2 linked regions of the Anolis sagrei genome follow. The protein of the gene in region 1 purifies or fractionates together with the protein of each later gene. This does not show direct contact. Links are inferred from orthologs where the notes say so. Each region holds a gene or a part of one and is shown on either strand. Other genes may lie near its edges.

The links.
Region 2: the proteins of PAN2 (region 1) and PAN3 purify together in Homo sapiens (co-immunoprecipitation; 5 studies listed by BioGRID and IntAct, with this or other methods). This does not show direct contact. The link is inferred for Anolis sagrei from reciprocal best matches to the Homo sapiens genes PAN2 and PAN3.

What each region holds. Positions count from the first base shown.
Region 1 is NC_090022.1:138,614,727-138,626,513, forward strand, and holds the start of PAN2 (PAN2-PAN3 deadenylation complex catalytic subunit PAN2), read right to left. Parts: upstream 5,620-11,787; 5' UTR 5,492-5,619; intron 1-5,491. UniProt on the Homo sapiens protein: Catalytic subunit of the poly(A)-nuclease (PAN) deadenylation complex, one of two cytoplasmic mRNA deadenylases involved in general and miRNA-mediated mRNA turnover.
Region 2 is NC_090023.1:31,523,351-31,535,769, forward strand, and holds the start of PAN3 (PAN2-PAN3 deadenylation complex subunit PAN3), read left to right. Parts: upstream 1-6,518; 5' UTR 6,519-6,851; coding exon 6,852-7,323; intron 7,324-12,419. UniProt on the Homo sapiens protein: Regulatory subunit of the poly(A)-nuclease (PAN) deadenylation complex, one of two cytoplasmic mRNA deadenylases involved in general and miRNA-mediated mRNA turnover.

The sequences.
Region 1 (11,787 bases):
GTAGGGGTTAGTTCTGCAGCAGTATGAATAAACAATTTTACATATCACAAATGCTAAAGAATGAACTTTGATATGCTAATGCTTGGAGACCTCTGAGGAGCCTACCAATTTTATCTCTACATAGTTTATTGCTCCACATTTATCTCCTTCCCACCAGGAAGTATAGTAGTCTCTCAGTTAACTGGAATTCAAGCAACCAGAAACTACCAAAAAAACATCTATGATATAATTAGGATCACCAAAACCTGGTGGGACAAGTCTTGTGTTTGGAATGCAAGAATATAGGGTTATTACCCATTTCTGGAAAACAGAAGAAGAGTGGTTACTCTTTTGTACTGAAAAGTAAATGCTTGGGGTCTTTGCAGCAGACAATTGGAACACTCATCCTCCTAGATACACTGTTGGGCTGCAGCTTTATGTTCCTCATCATTGCCTTTCCTAGTGAAAGGCCACAACTGACTGTTCTACTTTACAGGTGCAAAAAAGGAAGACTCATCTATCAAGTCTTGGAAATTGCTTCCTAAAGTTAGTTTCCAGTAACCACACATCATTTATTTCGTCATCGACAGAACCTATACTGGAAATGTAACCCGCAAAAGAGGAAGAGCAAAATTGCTTTGACCTTCTAAACCTGGAATCCTAAAAACACTACGTAATTTAATCCACAGAATTTTTGCTACCATATGAACATGTGTCAGGACTTGCCAAATCTTTGGCCTATTATATGAATACTAGTCTGAAGTTATACTCCTTTTCTTCTTTGATAAAGAGATAAACCCCAATACTATGCCTTCAGCTAATAGGGTATGTTTAACCTGCAGAAGAGAAGGCTGAGACAAGATAAGATAGCCATATATAAATATGTGAAATTATGTCATAAGGAAGAGGGAGCAGGCTTGCTTATGCTGCCCTGGAGACTAAGGGCCTTTCCACACAGCCATATAACTTATCAGTCTGAACGAATCTCCCCTTATGAACCATCTAGGACAGGGGTCCTCAAACTACGGCCCGCGGGCCACATGTGGCCTGCTGAGGGCATTTATCCGGCCCGTGCGGCCTGCCCTGGCCTCGTACAAAGCCCCTCGCCACTTGCTAGACCCAATCCCCTTGCCTGCTTCACGCCACTCGTCAGGCCTGGCAAGCAAAGAAAGCAGCAACGGGCTTCGCTCGAGGCCAGGCTGCACGGTGCAACTTGCCTTCCTCGTGCTGCCCGTTGTGCGAGCCAGGCAAAGGAGGTGCAGCCTCCCTTGCCAGGCCCGACAAGCAGCGTGAGGCAGGTGAGAAGATTGGGCCTGACAAGCGGCGAGGGGCTTTGTGCGAAGCCAGGCCGCGCGGCGCAACTTATCTGTCTCGCACTGCCCTTCGTGCAAGCTGGGCAAGGGAGGCTACACCACGCGGCCTGTTCTCGCGCAAAGCCCTCAGTGCTTCCATTGCTTGCCAGGCCCGACAGGCAGCGCAAGGCATGTGAGGGGATTGGGCCTGGCAAGCGGCAAAGGGCTTTGCGCGAGGCCAGGCCACGCGGTGCAGCCTCCCTTGCCTGGCTCACACGATGGGCAGCGTGAGGTAGGTAAGTTGCACTGCACGGCCTGGCCTCACACAAAACCCCTTGCCGCTTGCCAAGCCCAATACACTCGCCTGCCTTGCATCGCCCGTCGGGCCTGGCAAGCAATGGAAGCGGTAAGGACCGGGATTGTGGCGCAGCTGGCTGAGTGTCAGCTGCATTAAGATCACTCTGACCAAAAGGTCATGAGTTCGAAGCCAGCCCGGGCTGGAGTGGGTGTCCAGCCATTGTGTAGCCCGTTGTCGACCTTTGCAACCCGAAAGACAGTTGCATCTGTCAAGTAGGAAAATAAGGCACCACCTTGTGTGGGAGGCTAAATTTAACTAATTTATGAGGCCATAAAGAAAAAAGATTCCGGGGAATGTGGAATGCGGAAGAACTTCATTGGTGTCACTGATAGACGACGAAAAGCAGCAGCTCCCCTGGCGGCCAGAAAAAAAGTTAAATAGCCTTGGTGTATTTGTGTGTTAAACGTTGTTTGTCAAAACTGGCATTGAATGGTTGCCATATATGTGTTGACTGTAATCCGCCCTGAGTCCCCTGCGGGGTGAGAAGGGCGGAATATAAGAACTGTAAATAAATAAATAAATAAATAAATAAGGGCTTCGCTAAATTTAGGCCAGGCCATGCAGTGCAATTTATCTGCTTCGCACTGCCCCTCATGCGAGAGGCAAGGGAGGCAACACCACACGGCCTGTTCTCACGCAAAGCCCTCACTGCTTCCATTGCTTGCCAGGCCCGACGGGCACCGCGAGGCAGGTGAGGGGATTGGGCCTGGCAAGGGACTTTGCACAACACCAGGCTGCGCGCACCACAGCAGCACCCGGCTCGCATGAGGGGCAGTGCGAGGCAGGTAAGTTGCACCGTGCAGCCTGGCCTCGTGCAAAGATCTTTTAAACTTTGAAATGAAATATAATTCATGCTTACATATTCCAAAATCCACTTTATAAGGCAGAAAATAGAATTTTTTCCTCATTCTCATTGGAACTATTTTATCTTCAGAAATGCTAAAGCTATATTTTTCTATGTATTCCTATATTGCTTTCAGCAGCCCATCGTTGGGTGTGTGTGCATGTATGTGCCTTCAGGTCTCCTTTTATTTCTGGCGGCCCCATGAATTTAATGTTTTCTTTGAGAGGAAATACTCAAAAATAGTTTTGTCAGTTTCTTTCTCTGAAATATAGCACCTGCTATTCATTTGTGGCTTCCCATCCAAATTCTAACCAGAACTGGCCCTGCTTAGCATTCAAGATCAGAGGCATTTAATCTTTCATTGACTCTGCCAGGTATTATTCTTCTGTACAGTAGTATCTGTTACCCCTGTGACCCAACTTGTACAGGCAGTCCCCAACTTACAAACAAGTTATGTAGGTTTGTTCTCACTGTAAGCTGAGTTTGGTTCAATTTCATTGTTGGAGTTCAGAATGCTCTTGGTTGGCAGGGGAACTATTCATCCCAGCAACTCTCAAATGCTAAAGTCTATTTTCCCCAAGCCTTTCCAGTATTTTCTGTTGGTGATGGGAGTTTGGCAGATAGGCTAATCAGTAAACATATTCATGGATCCCCTGTTGTTATATTAAGACTATTACCTATGCTGTGACATGCTTGAAATCAAAATTTCATTTATTTGTAATGAGAAATAAATATTTCACAATGTATAATTACATATTGTTTTTGTGATTAATCACTATGCTTTATGTTCAGATTGTAACAATAAAAATACATCCTGCATATCAGATATTTACATTACGATTAATAACAATAGCAAAATAAGATATGTGCAGTGTGCATAGGAATTTTGTCATCGTTTTTTTTTTAACTATAGTCCGCCCTCCAATGGTCTGGGGGACAGTAATCTGGTCCGCTTTTTAAAAAGTTTGAGGACCCCTGATCTATGACCTTAAGACCATCTAGGGAGGCCTTGCTCTTGATCCTGCCTTTGTCACAAGCACATCTGGCGGGGACGAGAGATAGGGCCTTCTCAGTGGTGGCCCCTCGACTATGGAACGCCCTCCCTAGGGATATCAGATCGGCCCCCTCCCTATTAACATTTTGGAAAAAAGTCAAGACGTGGCTTTTTGAGCAAGCGTTTGCAAATGCAGAGTAACTGACATGGAAAATGAAACGACTAGATGATGGACTGGACAATGTTTAAACAAGGAGACGCTAATGATTTTTGTTTTATTGATTTGTTGTGGTTTTATATTACATATTAATGTTTTTAATTGTATTTCTGATATTGTGTGCATCAAATTGTTGCCTGTAAACCACCTTGAGTTGCCTGAGGGCTGAGAAAAGCAGTATACAAATACAGTAAATAAATAAATAACCCAAAATATCAAGGCAGAAAATTCCACAATATCTGCTTTCAACAGGGTTATCTGAGTCCACATTGCCATATATTCCAGTTCAAAGCAGATAATGTAGGATTTTAATCAGCTGTGTGGAAGGAGCCCCATTTCAAATCAAGTATTGTGGGATTTTCTGCCTAGATATTTTGGGTTATATGGCTGTGTGGAAGGGCCCTTAGACTCAGTAGTAATGAGTTCAAATGACTGCTGGAGCTCTCCTGGCATGTACAAATGATGCACCAGGAGAAAGGGGAGGAGAGCTATCTTCCTCTCCTCCTTCTCCTGGTGCATCATTTGTTTGCGCCAGGAGAGACTTGGCAGCCCTCTAATGGAGGCCGGGTAAGTTATTTTGCTTGGGTTTTTTTACACTGTTTTGGGGGTCTTTTGGGGAGGGGGTTGGTATTCTCAGTTTTCCAGGCTAACTTAGCCTGGAAAACCGTGGGAATACTGTCTGGACTACAGTCCAGACACCAGAAGTAATGGGTTTATCCAGCGCCTTCCAAGAAGCTGTGGAATAAATCAAGTAACAAATTAGGGTTTTCCTAGTTTGTGGTGAATTAATCAACTGGACAGCCCCATTTTAATTGTAATAACGCCCACATTAAAGGGGCTATGCCCTACAAAAGTTACAGGTTTGATCAGCACTCCTGATCCAGAGAAAGCAAATGCTATTTTTTCTCTATTTCCCCCAAACCTCAGTTAGTAAAATCACAGGCCAAATTACGACAAAATTATGTGAGTTGTAACTCAAGAAAGTAACCTTTCTCAGCGTTGCCCAGATTAGTCATGGGTTACATCAATGGCATAACCATTTTGGTTTCCTTGACAATTGTTATCCCTCAAGAACATAGCAAGATACTAAATCAAAAGAGTGGCAAAACTGTGTTACTGTTATGAAATGTGCTAAAGAGTGGGGTTGGGCAACTGGAAACTTGGGAGACACATTACTCCCCCCACCCACCCCAGAAAACACGGAAGGCTTTCCCCCATTGCCCTAACTCCCATAAAAAAAGATTTGCTCTCAAATGCTGTGGGACAAAATGAAGTGAGTTATTTCCTTTTTCCAAAACGGCTCAAAAAGGCATAACTCTCAAAATGTAATAGAATTACTCTGCATAGCATTTGAGGGCATTTTTTAAAATGGAGCCGCCAGAGGTGGGTGAAATGCCCCAACATCCTCTAAACCAGTGGTTCTCAGCCTGCGGCTCCCCAGGTTTTGGCCTACAATTCCCAGAAATCCCAGCCAGTTTGCCAGCTGTTAGGATTTCTGGGAGTTGAAAGCCAAAACACCTGGGGACCCACAGGTTGAGAACCACTGCTCTAAACCATTTTGGAAGCATTTCGGAGCAAAGGCCTATGGTTCCCACAAAGGCCTGTCCCTGACCCCGACGAGGGAAGAGGAAGTGAGGTGGCGGGCAACATCCCCGGAACCAGTGGCTCCATCCTTAAAACTGGCGGTTGTTTTGGACCAAAATAGGCCACACGTTCTGGCTCTCAAGAACGCCCATGAAAAACCACTGGGCTCCCGCTCCCCTGCCAACAATCCGCAGGCCATTGTCAGGAAGAAGAGAGGGGTTACCCACAATCCTTTGCTCTTCCGGTTTCCCAGCCGCGACCGCCGCTATGGCAACCCCAGCCCTCTTCGTTCCATCTCCCGCTCCTTCGGCGTAGCTCAGCAACAAGGGGGGCTGATTCCGACCAATCCCTGAGCGCCTTGTGGGAAGGCATCCAATCAGAGCAGACCTTACATTTTACACGAGCGGCGCTACGTGACTAACTGAAGGACGGGATTCTGAAAGGGACAAAAAGCTTGGCGGGTGTTGTTTGTAATGCTTATGAGGTTGAAAGGGGAAGTGAAGCTCGCCGCGTGGCTCGTTTACAAATCACGAAGGAGGGCGGCGGCCTAGTTTGCGCGGCGACCAATCAGCGAGTGCCCTTTCAGCCCCTCGGCCCCCTCTTAGGGTTTCTTCACGGCTTGTTGTTCTCTCCAAACAAGGAACTCGTCCTTTCCCTCCCCGTGAATCAGCGCAGGGCAGCCACCTGGAGGGATGCGCAGCCAGTTTCCTTTTGCGCAACGGGGCCAGAAGGGTATAGCCTAGGGAAGTGTATAAACACCCCTGCCGGTTTGGTTTTGCTGCCTGGCTCCCTGTTCAGAAGATGTCACCTCATGTTCTGTCCCTGTGACAGTTAGCTTTTGAAAAATTTGGCATGTTTTGGAAACAAGGGATTGGTGAAAAGCCTCCACCTTTTCTCCACAATAACAACTCTTTCAGGAATGAATTTCCTTTTCGAGGGGTAGATTTCTCTCGCTTTCTGTTGGCTCACCCTGTTCTTATCTATGAGTCATTTGTAAGTCGGAAGTTTGCAGCCTGTGTACGTTGTCTGAAGCAGTGGCTTGAGCCTTGGATTACAGCTTCGGAAACCAGAGTTTGATTTCCTTCTCTGCCAATGGAAACCTTTCAGTCAGCCCATTGTATGCTAATCAAGGTGGTCAGTTGAAACATTCACACCTAGCTCCAGCAGAAAAGAGTCCTTTGTCCCACCCTGGTCATTCCACAGATATATAAGTCCCCTTTCCCTGGTTCTAACAGACCTCACTACCTCTGAGGATGCTTGCCATAGATGCAGGCGAAACGTTAGGAGAGAATGTCTCTAGGTTAGGGGTCCACAAACTTTTTAAACAGAGGGCCAGGTCACAGTTCCTCAAACTGTTGGAGGGCCGGATTATAATTTGAAAAAAGCATGAATGAACTCCTATGCACAATGCACATATCTTACTTGTAGTGCAAAAAACCCCACTTAAAAACAATACAATAATTAATATGAAGAAAATTTTTAACAAATATAACGTTATTAGTATTTCAATGGGAAGTGTGGGCCTGCTTTTGGCTGATGAGAAAGGATTGTTGTTTTTGTTGTTGTTGTTGTGTTCTTTAAAGTTGTTTCAGACCTAGGTTGACCCTGAGCAAGGGCCGGGTAAATTGCCTTGGAGGGCCATATTCGGCCCCCGGGCCGTAGTTTGAGGACCCCTGATCTAGACCATGGCCATACAGTCCGAAGAAACCTTCAACAACCCAGTGATTCCGGCCATGAAAGCCTTCGACAATACATTGAAACCTTTCAGATTATCCTGGGCAAGTTACACACACAGCCCCAGAAAACCTTGCCTTAGGATTGCCATAAGTCAGAAATGACTTGAAGGCATAGAACAACAATGAAATCATACTTTCCAGATTCTATCATACAATGTTTTAATCGGTTGTCCTTTTCCTTCTCTAATCATTCTAGAAACAATTATCTGTGTCACCTTCTCTCTAGTATGAAGAATATTCCTCGTGGAAGTGAAAAGAAATTCAAGCTTTTACACTTGTGTATTTATCATAGAATCAAAGAGTTGGAAGAGACCTCATGGGCCTTCCAGTCCAACCCTCTGCCAAGAAGCAGGAATATTGCATTCAAATCACCCCTGACAGATGGCCATCCAGCCTCTGCTTAAAAGCTTCCAAAGAAGGAGCTTCCACCACACTCCGGGGCAGTGAGTTCCACTGCTGAACGGCTCTCACAGTCAGGAAGTTCTTCCTCGTGTTCAGATGGAATCTCCCCTCTTGTAGTTTGAAGCCATTATTCCGCGTCCTAGTCTCCAAGGAAGCAGAAAACAAGCTTGCTCCATTGAAACCTTTCAGATTATCCTAGGCAAGTTACACACACAGCCCCAGAAAACCTTGCCTTAGGATTGCCATAAGTCAGAAATGACTTGAAGGCATAGAACAACAATGAAATCATACTTTCCAGATTCTATCATACAATGTTTTAATCGGTTGTCCTTTTCCTTCTCTATTCTAGAAACAATTATCTGTATCACCTCTCTAAAATGAAGAATGTTCCTCGTGGAAGTGAAAAGAAATTCAAGCTTTTACACTTGTGTATTTATAATATTGTTGGTTTCTTTGAGCCTCTTTTAAGAAAGAAAAAGCAGCATATAAATAATAATAAATGAAATAAATATTCAAGTTTTCAAACTATGCAACATGAAAGAGGTCAAGGGCACATTTTGCCATATTTATATGGCTCTTCCCAGACCATTTAAGGCTAAGGAGAAAAAGTGAATGGGAACAAATCCCTGTTTAGGTCTTTTTTCAAAAATAAAAAGGTCTTTACTGGGCCTAAATTGGTCCAAGAACCCCAAAACATAGTGAAAATGCCCTTCACACCCCTATAGCACATTTTGAAACAAAGAAAATTGGTTTTTTACAACCTTGAGGGGACTCTGCCCATTTCTGCTCCAGAAGAAAACCCTTAGGCAGAAATGTTGATAACCCAAGATATAATGTTAGGGATCTGTCCAGAGAAGACTGACCACACACTGGGGGCCCTTCCACACAGCCATATAACCCAAAATATCAAGGTAGAAAATCCCGCATTATCTGTTTTGAACTGGGTTATCTGAGTCCACACTGCCACATATTCCAGTTCAAAGCAGATAATGTGGGGTTTTATTCAGCTGTGTGGAAGGGGCCCAGGAGAGAAATGTAATGCAGCAGCCAGGGAAAGTAGGATGAAGACATATATTTACAGTTATTTTCATATACGTACAAGTGTGCAGACTGTCTTGCAGGCAACAGTTTATCAAGGTCTGTTGAAGTAGCAGATATGTCTTGATGGAATTACCCTAAGAGTGATTTCCAGTTTGTGACATCCCTTACACTATGTAATGTGTAATGATGCAGTCCAGTAGGAATTTTCTACCTGGTGTGCTATACTTAAGCCAACCTATTGTTGTGTTACTGAGTAGTATTTTCCACACCCCAGTTGATCATAAATATGTAAAAATATAGGTTAACATTCAGTGATACAACTTTGTAAACAATGATTACTAAACCTTCAGCCCACATATACCTGAAACTACTAAGACATTTATTTGTGGGTTAGGGGAAAAAAACAAGTGGAGGGAAATCCAAACTTGGTTCTCATTTTGTCCTTTTTTTTTTTTTTTATTAAGTTTTTATTTTATGACATTAAAAAGACACACAAATACGACTGCACATACAAACAGCTAATTACCGACACAACACAGTACAAACAAGGTACAAGTACGAATAAACAAATACGTTAAAAATTGGCCAACCTCAGTTGGCCGGACCTCCTCTCTCCCACTCTAGTAGATCCTCTCTTGGTTTTCGTTTACGGTCTACGTTTGTAAATTAAAGTGTATGTATTTTCTCTGCTGTTTGGTTCTAGTATAGGTTTGTTAAACAGTGTCCTTCTTACTTTAAGAACTTTCGTGCATCATTTCTCTTTATTTCTCGCTCTCGGTTCGTTTTTCTCTCAAGATTCCCAGTTTCTAGTTAAATTTTTTTTATTATTATTATTATCTTGCTCCTTTTCATGATCTGTATTGATTTGTTCTTTAGAATGTTGTTAAGTATAAAAACAGAGGTTTTATCTGGATATTTGCATCGAATCTTTTGGTTTGCGGGGCGATTCACTTAGGAACGACTATGCTCTATATTTAGGTCTATGTATTTACCAACAGTGTATGACAGTTAGGGCTATGGCTGTGGGGGGTGGTGGTGGTATTAACCCATTTATAGTTTTAGCTTTTTCCCCTCCAACCATTCCTCAACCGGTGTCCAGTTTGTCTCTGCTATTGGTATATTTCGTGTAGTTGAAAGAATGTATGATAAATGATCCATGTTCCTTATATCTACTATTTTATTAATCCAATCTGCCTCCAATGGAATTTCCTCTTTTCTCCAAACTTTGGCGAGAAGTATACGAGCCGCCGTGACCAGGTAGACAAATAGCTTATCAGTCCCTTTGTCCCATGTTTTCCCTGTTAAACCCAATAAAAATATCTCTGGATTTAGTGGGATGTTTTTTCTTAATATTTTTTGGCAGTTTTCTTGGATTGTTTTCCAGTAAGCTTTTACTTTCACACAGGTCCACCACATGTGTTTGTAGGTTCCCTCCTCTAACCCGCATTTCCAACATTTATTACACATGTTCTTTGAAAATTTGGCAATCTTGGAGGGCGTTAGATACCACTGGTGTACCATTTTAATCCAGTGTTCTTTGATCTCATAGGCATATGAGTAGTTTGTTTTTACGATCCAGATGGTGTTCCATTCTTCTAGGGATATTGTTCTCCCTATCAATCTTGCCCATTTAACCATATATTCTTTAATTCTCTCCTCCTCTGTAGACCATTCAAGTAGTAGCCCATAAGCTTTGGTGATAAATTTTCTTGGGTTTTCTATTAATCTATCCCAAGCGGATAGGCTTTCCGTGAGACCTATTTGTCTGTCTTTTGCAAAATACTCTTTCAATTGCCAGTATTGGAGCCAAGTGAGGTTGTTATATTTTTCTCTTAACTCTTCTAATGATTTCATTCTTACTTCCTTTCCAACCTTGACAAGGAGGTCTTTATACGTGGGCCATATTCTCCAGCCTATTTCTCTCCTTTGATGAGCCTCCAAGGTGGAGAGCCATAGCGGTGTTTTTGGGTACATTCTCTCCTTGTATTGGTCCCAAACTTTCAGGAGGGCCGCATTTTGTCCTTTAAAGTGTACTGAAGATGATTTTCTTTCCAAATATGAGACTGCACCTATATCTACCAATAAGATTATTTACTGTGCATAATCTGCTTTTCTACTTACATGCCTGTGTGTATGTAAGTATCTACACACATGTACATACACACATTTTTACTTAACTGCAGTGTTTTACTGCATTTCATCCTAGGTAGGTAAATGGAAGGAACCTGCACCAAAATATTTTAGTTTGGAGTGCTTCTTCAAGGTCTCTGCCATTCCACTTCTCTGTATCCCATTTTTTTTCTTCTCCCACTCTTTTCAACTGTCGGTATTTTTTATGAAAATACTAGACTCACACCCCTTCTACACTGTCATATAATCCAGTTCAAAGGAGATCATCAGGATTTTATATAGCAGTGTAGAAGGGGCCTCTATGCATTGACCTGGTCCCCCCTTAATTTTGTCCTTAGTAATCTTTAAAAATAACTCAGGTCCCTTCCACACAGTTATATAAAATCCACATTTAAGTGCATTATATGGCAGTGTGGAGTCAGATAATCCAGTTCAAATCAGATATTGTGAATTATCTGCCTTGATATTCTGGGTTATATGGCTGTTTGGAAGGGCCCCCAGGCCCTTGGGAAGTCAGACTTGGCCACGGTGGTCCACGCTCTTGTTACAACCCGAGTAGATTACGCACTCTACATGGGATTGCCTTTGAAGGTTGCTCGGAAGCTCCAACTACAACCGACGGCAGCCAGGTTGCTCACTGGAGTGGCATACAGAGAGCATACAACCCCTCTCCTAGGCCAGCTCCACTGGTTGCCAATTTGCTACCAAGCACAATTCAAAGTGCTGGCTTTAGCCTATAAAGCCCTGAACAGTTCTGACCCATCTTACCTGTCTGAACTTATCTCCTGCTATAAAATGTAGCGAAGTTTAAGATCAACGGGAGAGGCCCTGCTCTCGATTCCACCATCCTCAAAAATGCATCTGGTGGAGACGAGAGACAGGGCCTTGTCAGTGGTAGCCCCTCGCCTGTGGAACTCTCTATCCAGTGACATTAGATTGGCCCCCTCCCTCTTGTCCTTTAGAATGAAACTCAAAATCTTGTTATGGGACCAAGCATTCAAACAGGAGAGGCAGCAATTTGGAATGAGACCCAATTTGTGTGCAAGACAATGGACTGACCTGCACTGTGATTTCAAACCTGTGTGATTTAAACAATGTTTTAGTAATTTTAAACCATTAATTAATTTTTTTAATTTGTTTTATCATTTATTACTGTTGTTTGCATTAAATGAATGCCTGTTGTGAAGCCGCCTTGAGTCCCCCTCCGGGG
Region 2 (12,419 bases), on another chromosome or scaffold:
TAGGTTCAGGGTCTTGACTTGCTCCTTTAAAGTCTGGAATAAATCTAGGTGTGAATTCACTGTCCTACCGACATAGATTCATTGACTGTTCCTACAATGAGTGGTGATGTGTATTAAATACTAGGATCATAAAACTAAGTATGTGTGTAGGTGTTCATTTTGCTTGTTTGTTTATAGTGTTAGCTTCATTCTTCAAATAGAAAGGAGTCTAAGGCAGTGTGTAGATAACAAAAAGCCTCTCTGGCATACATTCTTAAAAGGATATGACAGCGAAGAAAGGGAAGGAAAGAAAAACAAGAAAGCTCAGACCCCAATGTTTACTGTTATCTGTTTCTTAGAATAACCAACTTTGATGATAAATATGGGCTTCTAAGAAACAGCTGTAAAACAGCTGAATGTTGTAATTCTAGAAAGGTGAAGACTTCACTTTCTGGGTGGGTTCAAATCTGTACAGATGGAAGACACAGATACACAGATGGAAGACACATATTTCTTTAGTCAAGGGTAGAGTGGATGTAGTGTAGTGGATTGAGCACTGAACTACAACTCTGGAGACCAGAGTCAATCCCTTGCTAGGCTCTGGGAACTCACACTCTCAAATCCAGAAAACCTTGTGAAAGATTTTGTTTAGCTTTGCCATAAGTTAGAAATGACTTAAAGGCACATAACAACCACAACAATGCAAGTGTGGCATGTCCAGAGGGAAATTTTCTTCTCTGAAACCCTACAAGAAACACACAGTGACCCAAAGGCCAAACCAGCTAGAAGCTGGAAATTCTAGTTTTGAAAACCAGCTATATGCATTCGTGTGTGGAATGAGTGTGAGCCAGTGATTTTTTTTCTGGGGACTATTCACTTTCCAGTGGGAGAGGAGTGGGGCAAAAAAAGGGAGGCAGTTCCCAAGGTAAGAACATAATAGATTCTGTAAGTTTGTTCTTATGGTGAATTTGTATATAAACCAGAGCAGGTACATTTTTAAGTGTAGCTCCAGTCAAATATATATATGCAAATTAGCTTTGGTTAGCATAAGGAAGGATTAACACCCCTGTGGTGTTTGTTTTGCTGCCTGTGCCCCGGTTCAGAAAATTTCTCATTTTTTGTCCCTGTGATCATTGGATTTTGAAAAACTTGGCTTGTTGTGGAAACCAGGATTGGCGAGAAAGCTTCAGCTGAGGCTCCTTTTCCCATGATAACTCTTTCAGGAGTTAATTTCCCTTCCTATGAGTAGATTTCTCTCACTCAGATGGCCAATTCTCACACCAGAAGCGACTTGCAGTTTCTCAAGTCACTCCTGACACACACACACACACACACACAAACTGGCTCCTTGCCTTCCAGTATTGAGAAAAACTGTAAAGTCAATTCTTTTTGTGTGCTTTGCAATGTTGGTGCAAAGTGCCATGGCCCAATGCTTTGGAATCATGGGAGTTGTAATTTTACAAATTCCTTACCCTCTCTGTCAGAGTAGTAGTGCTTCACCAAAATGCAAGTCCCATTAATGGCACACTGTAGATGAAGCTGTTCTCCTAAATTTATTGTTTCATCATAGTAATCTTAGGAATAATGAATCATTGTTTTCAATCAAACCTTTTGAAAAAAGTGCAGATTTTTAAAAGTAAAAAAAAAGTCAAACTTCAGAGAGAGAAAAAATGTTTCCAATAAATAACTCTGATAGCATTACATGTACTGGAGCTTAGATGGAAGCAGCCTGCCACTCTGTGGTATGTGCTGATAGATATGCAAAGTGATTTGGTTTCGGGAAGGAATACAGAATGCAAATGTCATTATTAGGAGCAATGAGGATATTGTGCACCTATAAGAATATCTAGTTAATATGTGAGTACCATTTCAAGAGAATGCAGCCATTCCCAAGGGAGAGTTGGAGTTCATGACACACAGAGTTGATAGTCAGGAAGCGACTTAAAAGACAAGCAATCTAAAACTGTCTGCACACATTGCTAAGATACACATTTGTTTTCTGATAGATCTGTACAAAACTATTGTCTTCAACATAAACAATTGTATAACATTTCCTTCAGGCTATGTGTGCAAGGTGTGTATGAAACATAAATGAATTTCATGTTTAGACCTGGGACACATCTCTAAGATATTTCATTATGGACATAGTGCAAATACAGGTATTCATTAAAAAAATAAATCCAACATGCAAAACACACAATGGATTCTGCATCTTTTGAGGATTTGCTCTTACCTGCCATTTTTGGTGCTGTGTGCTGATTCTTCATGCCACTCATAAAGATACATACATATGCATTAGCATAACCAAATACTGTATATACTCGAGTATATGCTGACTCGAATGTGAGCTGAGGCACCTAATTTTACCACAAAAAACTGGGAAAATGTATTGACTCGAGTATAAGCTGAGGCTGGGAAATGCAGCAGCTACTGGTAAATTTCAAAATAAAAATAGATACCAATAAAATTATATTAATTGATGCATCAGTAGGTTAAATGTTTTTGAATATTTAAATAAAACTGTAATTTAAGATAAGACTGCCTTATCTGATTAAATCCTTATTCTAACCTTCTTCGATGTAAATGTGTTTACGTATCCTTCCAATAATTACCATAGTTTATTTTAACTATACATGTTGTGGAAAATGCTGTGTGTGTATGAATAAGGAAAAGTGAGGAAAACTGGAGGCAGAGAGGAGGAGAGGAAGGTGTGAGCTGCGCGAGAGAGGAGGAATGGAAGGAGAGCTAGGTTGCTGTGTGGAAAAGTGAGGGTCCTGGCAGAAAGGCGTGGGGCTGAAAAAAGCCCTTCTTTCAGCCTCATGCCAACCTGCCAGGACCCTCACCTGAGTATAATCCAAGAGGGTTTTTTTCAGCCTAAAAAAGGGCTGAAAAACTAGGGTTATACTCGAGTATATACAGTATATAAAAAAAATTTTCATCCCATTTTAGTCATTTTTTCTTTGATACTGACCACACACAAAAACCTACCTCAAAACCACAGGACAATATAATGAGGCTGCAATTATATGTCCAATTATCCAGTCCCACTACCCATTATCAAGTTTAGTATTTGACTATAGGATTGTGTGGTTTAATCCCTTATCTGGGAATAAGTGCTACTGAATTCAATAAGCTTTAATTCCAACTAAACACCCATAAACTCATGTTGTAACAGATGCAGTTGTTTAAAGTCCAGATATGAGAAGCCATGAGTATTCTCCATAGTAAACAAACTAACCCTTGATACGTCTTGGACAATGAGAAAATCAAACCAGTTCATATTCCAGGAAAGAAAGCCCAACTGCTCACTGGAGGGAAGGATATTAGGAGCAAAGATGAAGTACTTTGACCACATAATGAGAAGACAGGAAAGCTTGGAGAAGAGAATGATGCTGGGGAAAATTGAAGGAAAAAGGAAGAAGGGCCGACCAAGAGCAAGATAGATGGATGTTATCTTTGAAGTGAACTGGCTTGACCTTGAAGGAGCTGGGGGTGGCGACGGCTGACAGGGAGCTCTGATGTGTTGTTCCATGAGGTCACAAGGAGTCGGACGCGATTGAGTGAATAAACATTATAATATTGTACAGGGTTTCCCCCTGACATTAAGTCTAATAATGTCCGACTCTGGGAGGTGGTGCTCATCTCCATTTCTAAATGAAACAGCCAGCATTGTCAGTAGATGCCTCTGAAGTCATGCGGTCGGCATGACTGCATTGATTGCTGTTACCTTAAGATGGTAAAACTCAGCTGTGGGACCAAGCCTTTGGGACAGTGTAATAAGGCAACAATGGGAAACTTTCCGTGCTGGCTGGATATGGTATGGCTGATCTGAGATGGTGTTAAACAATTGATTTTAAAGTGGAGATAACTGATTTAAGTGTGTATGTATATTTATAGTTTATTTTATGTTCTGGCATTGAATTTTTGCTGTATATATGTGGTGCTCTGCCCTGAGTTCCCTTCTGGGTGAAAAGGGCAGAATATAAATGTTTTATATAAAATTTGCATATTTTAAAACTGCTAGGTTGGCAGAAACTGGGGCTAAAAGCAGGAGCTCACCCCACTCCTCAGATTTGAACCACTGACCTTTTGGTTCAGATTTGAACCACCACTGGGGGCTCCACTATACTGCAATATTATCAGTAATATTACATGTAATATATAATATACAATTATTATATTGTATGAGCCCCCGGTGGCACAGTGGGTTAAACCCCTGTGCTGGCAGGACTGAAGACCGACGGGTCGCAGGTTCGAATCCAGGGAGAGCACGAATGAGCTCCCTCTATCAGCTCCAGCTCTTCATGCGGGAACATGAGGGAAGCCTCCCACAAGGATGGTAAAACATCAAAACATCCGGGTGTCACCTGGGCAACATCCTTGCAGATGGCCAATTCTTTCACTCTAGAAGTGACTTGCAGTTTCTCAAGTCGCTCCTGACACGACAAAAAAAATATTGTACTATACTATTATACCACAATATATATAATACACGACCAGTATATTATACTATTTGTATTATGTAATACAGGGTGAGGCAGCATAACTTCCTTTTTTCAAAACTTAATAAAACCCATTGTATGAATCAGAATTATTTTATTTAATTTTTTTTATAATGTAGGCGCATACCTAAAGTTTTGTTTTATGTAGTTTTGAAGATCAAATTAGGTAGGTGACGTCCCCCATTCTCCATACACTGAGTAAACCGATTTCTGGCGTTTGTCATGACTCTTCCCAGCATAGCAGGCGTTATGTTGGCAATTTCTTCCTGGATGTTGGTCTTCAAATCTTGTAGAGTCCTTGGACGGTTCACATAAACACGGGATTTCAAAAAACTCCATAGAAAAAATCACAAGGAGCCATATCTGGAGAGCAGGCTGGCCACTCCAAATCCGTTCAAAAATAGGCCTCAACGGCAAAAGCACGCTCCTCACTGTTCCAGCGCATGATGGCGACTGAACTGTGTCAGGACAAAACTTTATACTCCTGCCTCTCAAATGAGACCACTAGTGCTCTGTTACGTCTTCAACTGACTGAATGGTGTGCATTTTAAAAAAGGAAGTTATGCTGCCTCACCCTGTATATTGTACTATATCCTAAAGCAGGGGTCCACAAACTTTTTCAACAGAGGGCCAGGTCACAGTCCCTCAAACTGTTGGAGGGCTGGATTATAATTGGAAAAAAAAACATGAATGAATTCTTATGCACACTGCACATATCTTATTTGTAGTGCAAAAACCACTTTAAAAATACAATAATTAAAATGAAGAACAATTTTAACAAATATAAATTTATTAGTATTTCAATATATACTAATAAATTTATATTTGTTAAAATTGTTCTTCATTTTAATTATTGTATTTTTAAAGTGGTTTTTGTCCAGTCTCGATAAAATAGTAAAGCAATGTCCAGTCTCGATAAAATAGTAAAGAGTAGAGACATCAGACTGGCAACAAAGATCCGCCTAGTCAAAGCCATGGTATTCCCTGTAGTAACCTACGGATGTGAGAGCTGGACCTTAGGGAAGGCTGAGCGAAGGAAGATAGATGCTTTTGAGCTGTGGTGTTGGAGGAAAGTTCTGAGAGTGCCTTGGACTGCGAGAAGATCCAACCAGTCCATCCTCCAGGAAATAAAGCCCGACTGCTCATTGGAGGGAAAGATACTAGAGACAAAGTTGAAGTACTTTGGCCACATCATGAGGAGACAGCAAAGCCTAGAGAAGACAATTATGCTGGGGAAAGTGGAAGGCAAAAGGAAGAGGGGCCGACCAAGGGCAAGATGGATGGATGGCATCCTTGAAGTGACTGGACTGACCTTGAGGGAGCTGGGGGTGGTGACGGCCGACAGGGAGCTCTGGCGTGGGCTGGTCCATGAGGTCACGAAGAGTCGGAGACGACTGAACGAATGAACAACAACAACAACAAGTATTTCAATGGGAAGTGTGGGCCTGTTTTTGGCTGATGAGATAGGATTGTTGTTGTTGTGTGCTTTCAAGTTGTTACAGACTTAGGTTGACCCTAAGCGAGAGCCGGGTAAATGACCTTGGAGCTCCCCTTGTTAGCCTCAGCTTCTGCCAACCTAGCAGTTTGAAAACATGCAAATATGAGTAGATCAATAGGTACCGCTCTGGTGGGAAGATAACGGGCGCTCCATGCAGTCATGCTGGCCACATGACCTTGGAGGTGTCTACGGACAACGCCGGCTCTTTGGCTTCGAAATGGAGATGAGCACCAACCCCCAGAGTCGGACACAACCTTTACCTTTAGGTATAGGAGTCTGCACAGCCATATAACCCTGAATATCAAGGCAGACAATCTCAGAAAATCTGTTTTGAACTGTCATATATTCCAGTGTGGGATTTTACTCAGCTGTGTGGAAGGAGCCCCAGATAATTGGGATAAACAGAAAACCTGGGATCAGAATCTAGGATATAGGGGGCCTGCCTGGAAAGGCTCTCTTTCTCTCTCTCTCTCTGAGGGCCAGGCCTCTTTGGACGCCTTTTCCTGCTCCAGGCCCGGATTACCCATCGGCCCCCGCTCTGGCTGTGGCGCAGGCGCGCTGAGGCGGCAGCTCAGGAAGAGGAAAATGGCATAAACAACCCCGCCGCCGCCGTCGCTGCCGCCACCGCAACAGGGACCATTCGAGGCCCAGCTCCGTTTCCCCCTCAGCGACATCCTTCGGGCCTTTCTCCGCGTGAGCGAAGCCCTCCGCTTGAGCTGCCCAGCCTTGGGCCTTGACAGTGGCGGCGGAGGAGGCGGCGGCAGCGGCCTTCCCTCCTCCTCCTCCTCCTCTTTCCCTCATGGTTCCTCGTCCGGCCACGGCGGGGCCTCCTGAGGCGGCCCGGCTGTTCATGGCGCTGTAGCGTCGGCGCCATGAACAGCGCGGGGCTGCCCTGTTCCTCCCCGGCGGCGGCGGCGGCGGGCGGGCCTGCTCTGGCTCCGGGGCCGGGCTTGGGCCTCCCCGCAGTGGCAGCGGGCGCGGGAGGCCTCCCCGGCGGCCTGAAGCTCAAGTTCTGCCGCTACTACGCCAAGGACAAGACGTGCTTCTACGGCGAGGAGTGCCAGTTCCTGCACGAGGAGCCCGGCGGCGCCGCCTCGGCCGCCTGCCCGGGCCCGCCCCCGCCGCCTCTCCCGCCCGCCGTGGCGCTGGGGGGGCTCCCGCTGGGGCTGGGGCCGGGACCCGTGGCCGCCTCGCCGGGGCACAGCGGGGGGTACCCAGGCCCGCACGGGGCCTCGCTGGCGGCAGGCCCCAAGAAGGGCCCCGACTTGGCCGCAGCAGCAGGAGCAGCAGCAGCAGGAAGCGGCGCCGGGGGAGGAGCGAGCATGGACGGACCTCGGCTGGCCAGTGAGTGCCAGTATGCGGCCTAGGGCTTTCAGGCGAGGCCATCTGTCGGGGCTGCTTTGGTTGTGTCTACCACCTGCATGGCCCTTGGGGTTTGGAGGCGAGCTTGGAGAAAAGAAGGCCGAGAGGGGATGTGTTACCTGTGTTTAAAGCAGGCATGGGCCAACTTCGGCCTTCCCTCCAGGTGTTTTAAACTTCAGCTCCCACCATTCCTAACAGCCTCAAGCCCCTTCGAGGCTGTTAAGATTGGTGGAAGTTGAAGTCCACAACACCTGGAGAGAGGACCTTTTTTTTTTTGTCGTGTCAGGAGCAAGTTGTTTCTGGTGTGAGAGAATTGGCCGTCTGCAAGGACATTGCCCAGGGGACACCTGGATGATTTGACGTTTTTATCATCCTTGTGGGAGGCTTCTCTCATGTCCTCGCATGAGGAGCAGGAGCTGAGAGCTCATCTGCCTCTCCCCGGATTCGAACCTGCGACCTGTTGGTCTTCAGTCCTGCCGGCACAGGGGTTTAACCCACTGTGCCACCGGGGGCTCCCGGAGAGAGAGGACTGAAGTTGGTCCATGCCTGCTTTAAATGGTTGAGAGATGTCACCTCGAGTTTTTGGTTTGCTGTGAGTTTTCCAGGCTGTATGGCCATGTTCCAGAAGCATTCTCTCCTGACGTTTCACCTGCATCTATGGCAAACATCTTCAGAGGTTGTGAAGTCTATTGGTTTATATATCTGTGGAATGTCCAAGGTGGGAAAAAGAACTATTGTCTGTTTGAGGTAATAATAATAACAATACAACTTTATTCATATACCGCTCCATCTCCCCGAGGGGACTCAGAGCGGTTCCCAAGTAACATCTCAAAACATACAGAGTAAAAACAACTTAGCCATAAGATTAACGAACAAAATTTAAGCATAATATTTGTCGCTATAACACACATATATTAAAAGTAGGTATGAATGTTACAGTTTGCCACCTTGGTTAGCATTTAATGCCCTTGCAATTTCAAAGCCTGGCTGCTTCCTGCCTGGGGGAATACTTTCTTGGGAGGTGTTGAACCAACTTGGACCCAGCATATTGTTTGAGAACACAAACAATGCTGGACCACTCTAACAACCACCGTGTCAGACTACACAGAAAAGCCGCTGAAATCCAGAAGCATGTGGACAATTTCAACAGAAAGGAGGAAACCATGAAAATGAACAAAATCTGGCTACCAGTATTAAAAAAAACTATAAAATCAAAATGTGAAATAAAGAACAACACTTAAAAACAGGGGAATTCCAGACAAGACACAATCAGGGCCAGCTAATCACCTTCCAACAAAGGATTCCCCCAGGCAGGAATCAGTCAGACCTTGGAACTGCAAGGCCATTAAATGCTAATCAAGGTGGCCAGTTGCAACATTCACACCTGCCCCAAACAGACAAGAGTTCTTTCCCCCACCCTGGATATTCCACAGATATATAAACTCCATTTTCCTAGTTTCCCACAGACCTTACAACCTCTGAGGACGCCTTCCATAGATGCAGGTGAAACTTTAGGAGGAATGCTTCTGGAACATGGCCACACAGCCCAGAAAATTCCCAGCAACCCAGTGATTCCAGTCATAAAAGCCTTTGATGATACACATTGAGTTAGTTTCCTACTGCTCTGGAGACTAAGGCAGGGAGCAATGAATTCGAATTGCTGGAAAGGAGATCACACCTAAACATTACTTCCGGGTGATAAGAACTCTTTGGCAGTGAAATATGCTTGCCCAGAGTGTGGAGGAGTCTCCTCTGCAGGTTTTAAAGCTGAGATTGGCTAGCCATCTGTGGGGGTTGTTTTGATGTGTGTTCCTGCATGGTCTGGAGGCTCCTTGTGGTCTCTTCCAACTCTATGATTCCTCCAATCCTATGTTTCTCTGGACCCCAGGTTTCTCTAGGTCAGTGGTTCTCAACCTGAGTAAGTAAATAAGTAAACTATTACGGTTGATGACCAGATGTACTCAACCTGTTTGTCCCCAGATATTTTGGACTACTACTCTCAAAAATCCCAACCATTTTACCAGCTGTTAGAATTTCTGGAAGTTGAAGGCCAAAACATCTAAGGACCCACAGGTTGAGAACCACTGCTTTAGGTGAATGTGGGGAAAGCGGTCTTGAGTCTCCACTGTTCTAGTTCTGGGCTCCAGACCCTCCAAGGCAGTGGTTCTCAACCTGTGGGTCCCAGATGTTTTGGCCTTCAACTCCCAGAAATCCCAACAGCTGGTAAACTGGTTGTGATTTCTGGGAGTTATAGGCTAAATCACGTGGGGGCTGACAGGTTGAGAACCACTGCTTCAAGGGCAACAAGGCTATCAGCGGCGTTTGGGATGCACCCAAAAGGTAAAGGGATGGTGGGTGGCAAGCAAGGATTCATGCTACACTTGACAACTTAATGCAGTTTGAAGTTTGCTTCAAACTGTGGCAGCAGTTGAACAGCAAACTCCCACAAAAGTGCATGAAAGAAGGAAAGCCCTCAAAGTGTGTAGCAGTGCTCTGTGGTTTGTGTAATCACCATCTGGGTCTTAAAGAAGCCACTCTCTTCAATGTCGGTTTGACAGTGTTTTTGCTCCCCGGTCCCTCAGAGTGAGTTGGCACATGCAATTTTTGTGGAGGGATAAGTTGAGAAAGGTAAGATAAGGCTGTATTGTTGCTGTTTGTTCTGCTCCTTCTCATGGCCTGGCAGTTCAAATGGAGATGAAGGAGATGGGTGCTCTGCTTTAAGAATAGGTGGAAAAGGGGTGTGGCAATGGCTTTTTCTTTCTTTCTGAGGATGTCAGTGTAAAAGATGGGTGATAATGTTTTCTGACAATTTAAAGATTCCTATAGGGTTAAGGAATACACCAGGTCCAGTCTGGACTTGGAAGCTAAACAGGGTCAGCCCTGGTTAGTCCGTAGATGGGAAATGGAAGATAAATACTGGAGGCTATGCTTTATAGAATAAATTGGTAAAAGGACCAAGAAACCTTTAAAAGGTTCATGGGGTTTCAATAAGTCAACATGTAACTTCAAGGCACACCTACACAGTCAGGTGGAAACAAAGGTGGTGGATTCTCTGTTTTCACAATATGGGAAAGGGGGTGTGGTGACAGCTTTTCCCTTATGAGGCGGCTGGGACTAAGGATGTCTGCCTGTGCCTCTTTGGTGAAAAATACGGATGGCAATATTTTCTGACAATTGAAAAGATTCCTATGGGTTTAGGGATGAGTCTCTGAATACCCTTAAGGGTCCAGCTGAAAAAAGTTAGCCCCGATTAGTCTGTAGATGGCAAATGAATACTGGAGGCTACATCTCAGAGGAATACAAAAGTATTAAGAAAAATCTACAAAATTCGTAGACTTGTGTTAAGCCAGTGTGTACCTTGGAGGCACAACACACATAGGGTTAACGAGAGACAGCATGGCTTAGTGATTTGTTGGATTGTGACTCTGGAGGTGACCCACTCAGACATGAGAACCTGTTGGGTGACCTTGGGTAAGTCATGCTCTGTCAGTCTTAGAGGAAGACCATGGTAGAAAACTTTAAATCCAATGATAATGTTGCCATAAATTGGAAACTTGAAAGCCAACAACAGCAACATAGGGTTAGTAGTTGATTCACAAATCCCTTTATTGTGTAGGCACAAGAGTAGTCCATGGTTATTATTTTGTAACCTCAGCTGGTCATTGTTTCATTTTTGTTGTGAATTCAAAATCCACAATTAGGGCATACATTCATACAATGCTGATTGCTTTGTAACTAAGTGGGACCATACTCACTTGAGACACTACGTAGAAAAAACTTGACTTGGCTTCCCTCAAAGAATCAAGAAAGCATCTAGCTGTATGTTCCAGAAGTAGTAAAGTAACACCTCACTCTTTTTGATAGAGACAGCTGATCTGTCAGCACTGTGTGAAAAGGGGGACTGGCAAAACTTGTTAGAGATATTTTCAAGTGTGTTTTGACAACTTGTCATGCCAGCTTCCAATTACAGTTCTAAAAATTAAACTACCTATATAGCCTTGAATCTAACTGAGGTAGACCTTTTGAGCAGATGGAACTTATATATGTTGACTGCTACTATTCATTAAGTGGGACTTCTGTGTTTGGAATTAGCGATAGAATTTAGACCACCATGTGCAGTTTGAGATCCCTGTAGGGATTGTTTACAGACTTGAGTGCCCTAAACACACTAGATCTTGAAAACTAAGCAGTCAACTCTGATTTTTACTTGGATGGGAGACTTCCCACAAATACCTATTGCTTTAGGCTACACTTCAGAAGAAGTGAGCCAAATGATCAGAGTATTATTTGCCTAAGAAAACCATATGGAATTCATGGGGTCATTAGAAGTTAATACATGACTTGAAGTCCCCCACACATACACAAACAGGCATGGTGTCCACATTGCAACCATCAGGACATGGGAAGATGTAGGCTTTTTTTTACTTTCCCCCTTTTTCATTTAAGGGTAGACAGGCACACATGTACCACCCATCAAGGTTAGGATAGTGGCAGGGGAATCCTTATTGATGCTATATATCACTTAAATATTTAAACATGAAGTCCTGCAATACTTTCAGACCGCTAGGAAGAAAATGTACAAAAATAGTTGAGTTCAGGATAGGATGTGAAGATCTTACTTAAACTTCTAGGGTAGTAGTTGTATTATGTGTGTCTTTAAGTTGCCTCTTGACTTAAGACATCCCATGAATTTCTCAGGGCTTTCTCAGGCAAGGAATACTCAGAAGTGGTTTCTCTAGTTCCTTCCTCTGAAATATACCATATATACTTGTGTATAAGTCAACCTTAGGTATAAGTTGAAAGCTGGTTTGTAGGCCAACATCATCGATTGTGGTATGACCCATGGATAAGTTGAGAGTCATCATGCAGAGAGAGAAAAGTGCCAGCACTGCCTTGGGGCCTGCTGCTCAGCCACCATTTTACCACTCTGGCCTTCAAAAAGGCCAGAAGTGGCACTTTTTGAATCAGAGAAATAGAGGGAACCATTGCTTCTTTTTTATTCTTCCAAAGCACTTTTTGCCACTCTACTCAAAGAAAGGGATGGTTCCTTTCTTGGTAAAGTACTTACACTGACCTAT